Oreochromis niloticus: one gene and its partner. The protein of the gene in region 2 interacts with the protein of the main gene of each other region in a pairwise test. Links are inferred from orthologs where the notes say so. Each region holds a gene or a part of one and is shown on either strand. Other genes may lie near its edges.

Region 1 (3,754 bases), on a different chromosome or scaffold from region 2:
CTTAAAAGAAAGTATGATTCCTCCCTTACATTCATACATGTAGATAACTGCCACGGGAATGCCCAACACTGAGATACTACACAGTGTTTTTAACTGGTAGATTAAGATTTAGCTGGTAGATTAGTCTTAAATCTAGTGATGGGATGTGCTGGCCCAGTCTTTGGACTGTGTGTTGAGAAATCCAGGAAGTCTTTTATGAAGCACGTATCAAGGCTTAGTTGTGGTTGGATCACCACCTTTAAGTTGAAGAGACAAATTATTTTTTTCTAGTAAAATTCTTTTCTTGGTTTGATTTTTCATCAGTTTGGCCAAACAATCTGGACTATAAATATGGCAAACTAATCCACTGCTGTAGGAAAAAAAGGGGGAAAAAAGACTGGGCTGTCAGTCTGTTGAAAAGCCTATTATTTCTTCCTCCAGTGCTCAGCCATCCGTCACAATAACAGCAGCTTAGTAAGTACAGTAAATAGTACAGAATGAACATCAGTAGTTGCCTCACTAATTATGTGTTTCTGACATTTTTTTTTCTTCAGCCCACCGCTCCCTGGTGACGGAGCTGCTCTCCCTGCCTCTCAAAGCTGACAATCTGAGTATTCGCTCACGCCGGGCCCAACTTGACTGTAGGCTTTCTGAAATTGAAGAAGCCATAAAAATTTTCTCCAGGGACAGAGTTTTTGTAAAAATAGATTCTTAACACACGAGGAAAAGGAGGGAAGGAAGTGGCTAAGTAAATGTATTGCTTTATTGAGATTAACTTTCATTTTTTAGTTGCATTAGATAACATTACGCTGTTTGTTGTGAAATTATTTTTAAAATGTGAATAAATCATTTTGTAAGCTTATTACAAAATACAAAAGAGCATCTTTAGGCATCATTTGCTGAGATGTGATTTCTTTGGTATGGATGTGCTAATGATTTATAATAAAGAACATTTTTGTGAAGTTACTGTGTACGTACTTACATAATTTTTGTAACTTGGAATGTTAAAACCTACCAAACAATGCACTACAGCTTTTTTTAGTTAATTTCATTGCATGAATAAATATAGAAATACACTAGAACTCAGTAATTTTCGATTGTTCCGATTCATTTTGTGTCATATTTATTTATTATTTATTATACTATAATTATACTAGTTGAAGCAGATGTGAATGTTGTGGCTAACGATGACGTTTTACGCACGCCCCGCCCCCTCTACGTTATCGTTCATTGTTTGGCGTGAGAGCTAGCCTAAGCTAACGTGCTAGTAGGAGGCTAGCTGGAAATAAAAAGAGCTTCAGGCTCTCGTGCCTACATAAACGCCCATATATCTCTCCAGTGTTTATTTGAGAGACTGTCAGATTCAAAATGAGCAAGAGGAAAGCGCCGCAGGAGTCCCTAAATGAGGGAATAACAGACTTTCTCGTCGGTACGTTAAGAGATTGTTGAACTCAGCTAACCGTTGCTAGCATGGAAGTTGGGTTCTGTTATTAAATATAAATACCAACCGTGCTGGTAAACTAACCCTGCACGAGTAGCGGGTATCAAAATATTCTAAATATAGAGTTGTAGTTGTTGCATCTAGTTATCTGGATTGCTTACACGTGTGATTTGGTTCGCTCGCTATCTGCCTTGTCATTTAAATGCCTTCTACCTTCAGCTGAGTTGGCAGAAGATTAAGTAGCAGGAATAAAGTAGCATGAGGGAAATGTGAAGTCTTGCCTTGTCCTAACACTGCCTCTGTTTCCAGAATTGGCCAACTACGAGAAAAATGTCAACAGAGCAATACACAAATACAATGCATACAGGTAAGCTCATAATTATGTGAAAACCTGTCCCAGTCACTGGTCTTCATAAAACAAGCGTTTCAAGTGTATTACGTCCACTCGGCCATAAATGATGGTGTTAGTACAACGCCCCCATATAAGTCTATTCTTATATGACTAAGTATAGACTCATGTTAAAAGAAACATTCTATTGAATTAGAATGTCTTTAAAACACTTTCAGTTAAGAGAAATAACTCTTTTTTTTGTTGCTTAAAAACTACATTATTAGAGTGAACCCCACATGATCGGATAAGCAGCACTTCACAGGAAGAACTCCCTTTTAACAGGGGGACCTCCAAAAAGACCTCCAGTAGAACTAGGTTCAGGGAGGACTGACTGTCTGTAGTGACCTGTTTACAACAACAGGAACTTGTAGGTAGTAAAAAAGGAATCATTACATCCATTAGTGCTATATAACACATAAAGTGATAAAAGAGGTTAACTGAATCATGGGAAGCCCCAGAGCAGCCTGAGCCTGCATCAGCGTGACTAAGAAGTGGCTCAAAACTGATACCTGATCCGGCCTTGTCGTTATCAAAAAGGAAGTTTTAAGTGGAGAGGATGACTGTCTCTTCAGGAAAAAACTGGAAGCTGATTCCACTGGAAAGGGGCTGATGGCTGAAATCTTTACAACTTTGTTACTTAGGATCCAGTAAGCCAAGTAAGCCTCCAGTCCGAGAGTGAAGGACTCTGCTGACGTAATAGGATGGAGCCCAGTCATTCATTTAAAATCAAAGGATTTTAAATTTGATTTTGTATTTAGCAGGGAGGCAATTGAGATAAGCTATAATAGGAGAAGTATGATCTAGTGTTCTAGTCCACCAGAAAAGCATAGAGTACAAGATAAACTTCCTGGATTTATGATTAGGTTTTTGCTGTATGCTGTATCATAGCATTGTCATGTTTACACTTACGATCTAAAAGAAATTAACCTAAAGAAAAAGTGGCCTAATTCAATTTTACATATGTTTTTTGCTATGACTTACACGGTCCCTTGTTTTCTGTGCTTAGGAAAGCAGCATCTACGATTTCTAAGTACCCTCACAAAATCAAAAGTGGAGAAGAGGCCAAGAAACTGGTATGTATGTGTATGTATGTATAAGTTGTCATAGGCAGACTGATAGATAAAAAATATAAATGAAAGAAATATCTTCTTTCTTAACAAAAGAATTGGCATATAGAACTGGAGATTTCTCTTTGCATGTTATCAAATCAGAGGTCATCTGTCATCCTCTCCATGTGCTTTAAAATGTGTGACTTTCACTGTCACAATGACATTGTTAAACCTGGCAGCGCCCCCATCATTATTTATCTGGCCTACCACTAATGTGCTCATGCTGCTGTTTATGTGATGGCCTCTGTTGTAGCCTGTTTGTCAACAGCTTCTCTGCACATCTTACATAATCACTGCAGATCACACTGCTGAGCAGCACCCTCATGATTGTTGTCACATTTCAATAGGATGGTGTTGGAGCTAAAATAGCAGAAAAGATTGATGAGTTTCTGCAAACTGGCAAACTTAGGAAACTGGAAAAGGTGAGTCTAAGAGATCACTTTACTGATGTCACACTGTAAAAATAATTTTTTAATAGTTATTTTTATGTCTATGTACTGAGTTATTACACAGACTGATGCGCTACATTTATATCTTCCAACAGATCCGAAACGATGACACTAGCTCTTCCATCAATTTCCTCACCAGAGTTACTGGAATTGGGTATGTTGTTTGGTTGTTCACTCTGCACGTATGATAAAAAATTATATGTTCATATTCAGAATTAGAATATAGCAAGTGTATTATTGACTTTCTGTTGTAATATTGTATGTGCTTTATTTTCACTTCAGACCTGCTGCTGCCAGGAAGTTTGTTGAAGAAGGGGTGAAGACTTTAGAAGGTTTGTGTAGCATTTGCCTCAAATTAAAATTGATACATATTTTGTATGGTTAG
Region 2 (3,754 bases):
CAGCTCGCTCTATGAATTTATAAATGTACATATTTTCTAACATAAACGTTGCCTTTTTCTCTCAAATGACCTCAAGGGAGCAGGTCTGACCTGTGAGGGGTTTGGATGAGCGAGGTCAAACTCTTCCGTCTTGCGGCAAACCTCAGCGAGTGCTGCTCTGTGTGGCGGGTCCCACATCTTCTCCTTTCGCTCTTTCTAGTAGTCAAAAACCACAAAAAAAAAAAACAATAACTCTCCAACACAACACACAGTCTAACATACAAGGCAGGAAATAATCTCAGCTGAAGAGCTGTCAACAGGGACACTCCAATTGTGTTTTTCCCCCATTCATTCACCATGTGAGTGTATTATATGAAAAAAAGCTATAAACTCGTTACAAAATTTTCCAAGTATGGATAATCAATTCAGAATAAAGGTCAAATCCTATCAGTTCACTGATTTCAGATAGATTTTCTATGAGAGGGAAGAGGACAATTCAGCAGGTTTTTTTTGTTTTATCGCCAAAGCTGATTGAAGTGTTGAAACATCAGGAAAAAAGGCCTGTCTGTGACTCAGGTGTCCAGAAGCTCCACTGCCATGAGTCTTTTGAACAGTTGCTATCATGTCCAAGCTTAATTGTCCACGTGTCAGGAGTACTGGGCTTTGTGCTCATCAAAAAAAAAAATCAACACTGTGTCAGACAAAGTGAAGTAATAATGTCACCTCTTCCTACCTGTACTCTTTCTTTCAGAGCCTTGGGGAAGAACTCGTAGCCATTTTTAACTCCAATGCGATACTTCCCTGATGGATTGACCCAAGCAGGAGGGACCTGGACGACATTAAAAAAATATGCAGTGTGAAACAGATGAACGAGAGCGCCTATAAAGGAATGTTTTTAATGTTTGTGTACATGGATATGTTTATATACTGACCTTGAGCGTTCTGCCAGAGAGGCCGGTGATTGTCCCATCTTTAGGCTCCGCCACGGTGGTCATGTTCACATCGCCACTGCCTGTCGTATCGATGATGTCAACAATCTTTGGCTTCCCCTCAGTTGTGACCTAAGAGAACAAAAAAAAAATATGAAAGAAATCAGCAATCCACTAGAATACAGACAGAAAAAGGTGCACATCATAACCAGTATCTTACATTGAATGGGGAGGGGGATATGGACAGCAAACTAAATGAATCGTCATCCATAAATCAGCTAAGTAACTCAGCCGGTCTTGAGTAAAATGATACCTGAAAAAGCTCAACGTGCTTTTTAACATGAGGATTTGTTTACTACCAGAGAAGCAGTCAGTTTCAGTCTCAGCCCCTCAAGCATGACTGAAGCAAGAGAACAGAAAATAAGCTCATGTATTGTGAAAGCTATCCAGCTAGACTTACACATGTGCACTGAAATAGGCAGGTTTAGAGTAACATGTAGTGTTTAACACTGTATTGGTCGGCTTATTTTTTTACGTTGTGACTTGGCAGTGAGGATAAAGTTTCACAGTTTACGGGCCACTTATCAAAACGCCAAATACGCTTAGTTTACTCTGCCTTACTACTATTAAGCTAGCTACAACATCCAGTCAGCATGTAAGTCTAATAATGTAAACACTGGAATAAAGGGGGTAAAAAAAAAAAAAAACACGAAAAGAATTCAGCAGCTAGCTTCCAGGCTGTCATGCTAGCACACATTTTAACTTACTGGCTAACTGTACGCCAGACTAGCACGGAAATACACTCTGACAGCAGGGGTAAACACACACTACTAGCTGCTTTGCCTTAATTTGGTTGTCATTGTGGCGTTAAAGTTAACTATTGGTGTATCCACAGATGCTAAGTATCTAGCTAGATGACTAGCCGCTGCCGTTGTATACCAATGAAGTGAATGAGTCGGCCCTTTAGCTTCGCTAGCTTCCGCCAACTAGGTCGTGGCTTAACACGAGGCAGCCGGTCAGATCTACCTGCATGCCGGGGGCCCCGGGATCCACGCCGGTGTCGAGGATGGCGATGAGCACCCCTCGGCCATCATACTCGGGGAACCGGGTGAGGTAAGAGGCAGCGCCGGTTTCTTTTTTGGGGAGCAGCCCGTGGAAGGGGAACGGCTCTTCGGTAGAATGAGCAGCCATGATCGGAAGAGCGACAATGAAAACAAAGCAGCGAAATGGGGAAGAGAGCAACAGTACGCGTGTGGGACTGACGGGGAGGAGAGCTAGTTAAAGGGGCAGTGCTTCCAGTAACCCCCAGGCCAACAAGCAGGCCTTTATCAGCCTGTTAACTTATCTGCTTTAGTCTGGACTGGGTTTTTTACTGTCATGTGAACTGTCTGCTGGCTGGAAACCAAGATGTGTAATTGAGCAGTGTATGACTGCATGAAAGCCAAGAGGTTTCACATCCTTGATAACATCCTTGCACACACACACAGAGGTGGCTGACTGATCAAACTCAGAGGTGTATCAGCATCTGCAGTGTGTGCAGAAAAGTTGATTTTGTCTTCCTCACGCTGTTATCATTTTTGTGTTTGTGAAACGTCATCTCTATGTCACCCTGAGCAAAGGTCTCATCGGCCACCTGTAGAGGTGAGCAGGACTTGTACGCTGTCACATGCATCTTGTAAATCCTGGGTCATTAGTGAACAGTGGCACTGGGTGGTGCTGTATTACCGCTGAATGTTTGCTGCAGTTACATATTTGTGCTCTGTAGGAACTCTGAAGGCATTCACTGCACAGTTTATCCTCTCAAACAGGTTTATTAAATCAAGTCTTAATGCATCAACATGCACCCTTAGGAGAGTAGCTGCTTGAACTAACCACAATCCGAGCGATTTTAATAATGCTTTAGTGCTTTGTGAACTGAAGGCAACAAAACCATCTGACAGCAATCTGTCATTTGTTGGCTATGGATGCAATGTATGCACATATACATTTTTACAATTTTAACTCTGCGTAGATAAGAGAAAATCCTGAATAAACAGCACCCGGTTGTTGTTTTTAAAGTCATTAAATTTGTGAAAGATGGATTAAGGGCTATTCATATTTTTGCACGTGTTCTTTATTAGTTTTTCTGTAATGTAACCCCGTTACTAGCCAACAACAAAATTGCTGCTCTCTATTTTTTTTCTCACACATGCAGTGCTGAGAATAAGGAAGAAATTAAAAGTTAAAAAATGAAAGTTTTATTTGTCTCCCTCTCACATACCAAATGACATACATTCAGATTTGATTCATCCTGTATTCATAGAGCTTTTATTTATCTTCTCTCTAATACCAGGATTAACCTTCCACGTCAATCGCCATCTGTACTGCTCAATATCATGTCTTTCTCGCTCAACTTATAGCACATCGATTCACATATCTAGACTGTAGGTTAATCTTTGTGGTTGTGCTATAAAAAAAGGGGGGGGGGGGGGGGGGGGGACAAACCACAAAAGGGAGGGTTAGTCTTTGTTATTTTAGGTGTGCCAACGCCCTCAGATGCTGTTCTTATGCCTGGTTTGCACGTAAAAAACTAACACTTAGCATCCTTTCACTAATCTGCCTTTAATCAGCATCTGTCTACTCTTCCTCTTTCTGTCAATGGCTCGTCGTTGTCACATATGAACACACCGAGTTAACCACACTCCTGCAGTCATATTTTGTTGTCACGAACACGATGCATATACTATATATATATATATATATATATATATATATATGTATATACTAGTTTTTTCCCCTTTTTTTCTGTTAATAAAATCGTTGGTTTGTATGATTCTCGGTTTTATACCTTTTGCAGAGACATACAC

Evidence for each region.
Region 1: the proteins of tpp2 (region 2) and polb interact in binary tests that used the Homo sapiens proteins (3 or more experiments, as listed by UniProt). The two-hybrid records come from large-scale screens. The link is inferred for Oreochromis niloticus from reciprocal best matches to the Homo sapiens genes TPP2 and POLB.

Annotation. Positions count from the first base shown.
Region 1 is NC_031977.2:25,924,515-25,928,268, reverse strand, and holds the start of polb (DNA polymerase beta), read left to right. Parts: upstream 1-1,174; 5' UTR 1,175-1,347; coding exon 1,348-1,408; intron 1,409-1,729; coding exon 1,730-1,787; intron 1,788-2,817; coding exon 2,818-2,884; intron 2,885-3,267; coding exon 3,268-3,342; intron 3,343-3,464; coding exon 3,465-3,523; intron 3,524-3,651; coding exon 3,652-3,701; intron 3,702-3,754. Other genes in the region: enkd1 (enkurin domain-containing protein 1), read left to right, coding at 1-11, 534-694.
Region 2 is NC_031965.2:16,547,176-16,550,929, reverse strand, and holds the start of tpp2 (tripeptidyl-peptidase 2), read right to left. Parts: upstream 2,204-3,754; 5' UTR 2,100-2,203; coding exon 1,935-2,099; intron 1,041-1,934; coding exon 912-1,040; intron 809-911; coding exon 713-808; intron 196-712; coding exon 91-195; intron 1-90. UniProt on the Homo sapiens protein: Cytosolic tripeptidyl-peptidase that releases N-terminal tripeptides from polypeptides and is a component of the proteolytic cascade acting downstream of the 26S proteasome in the ubiquitin-proteasome pathway.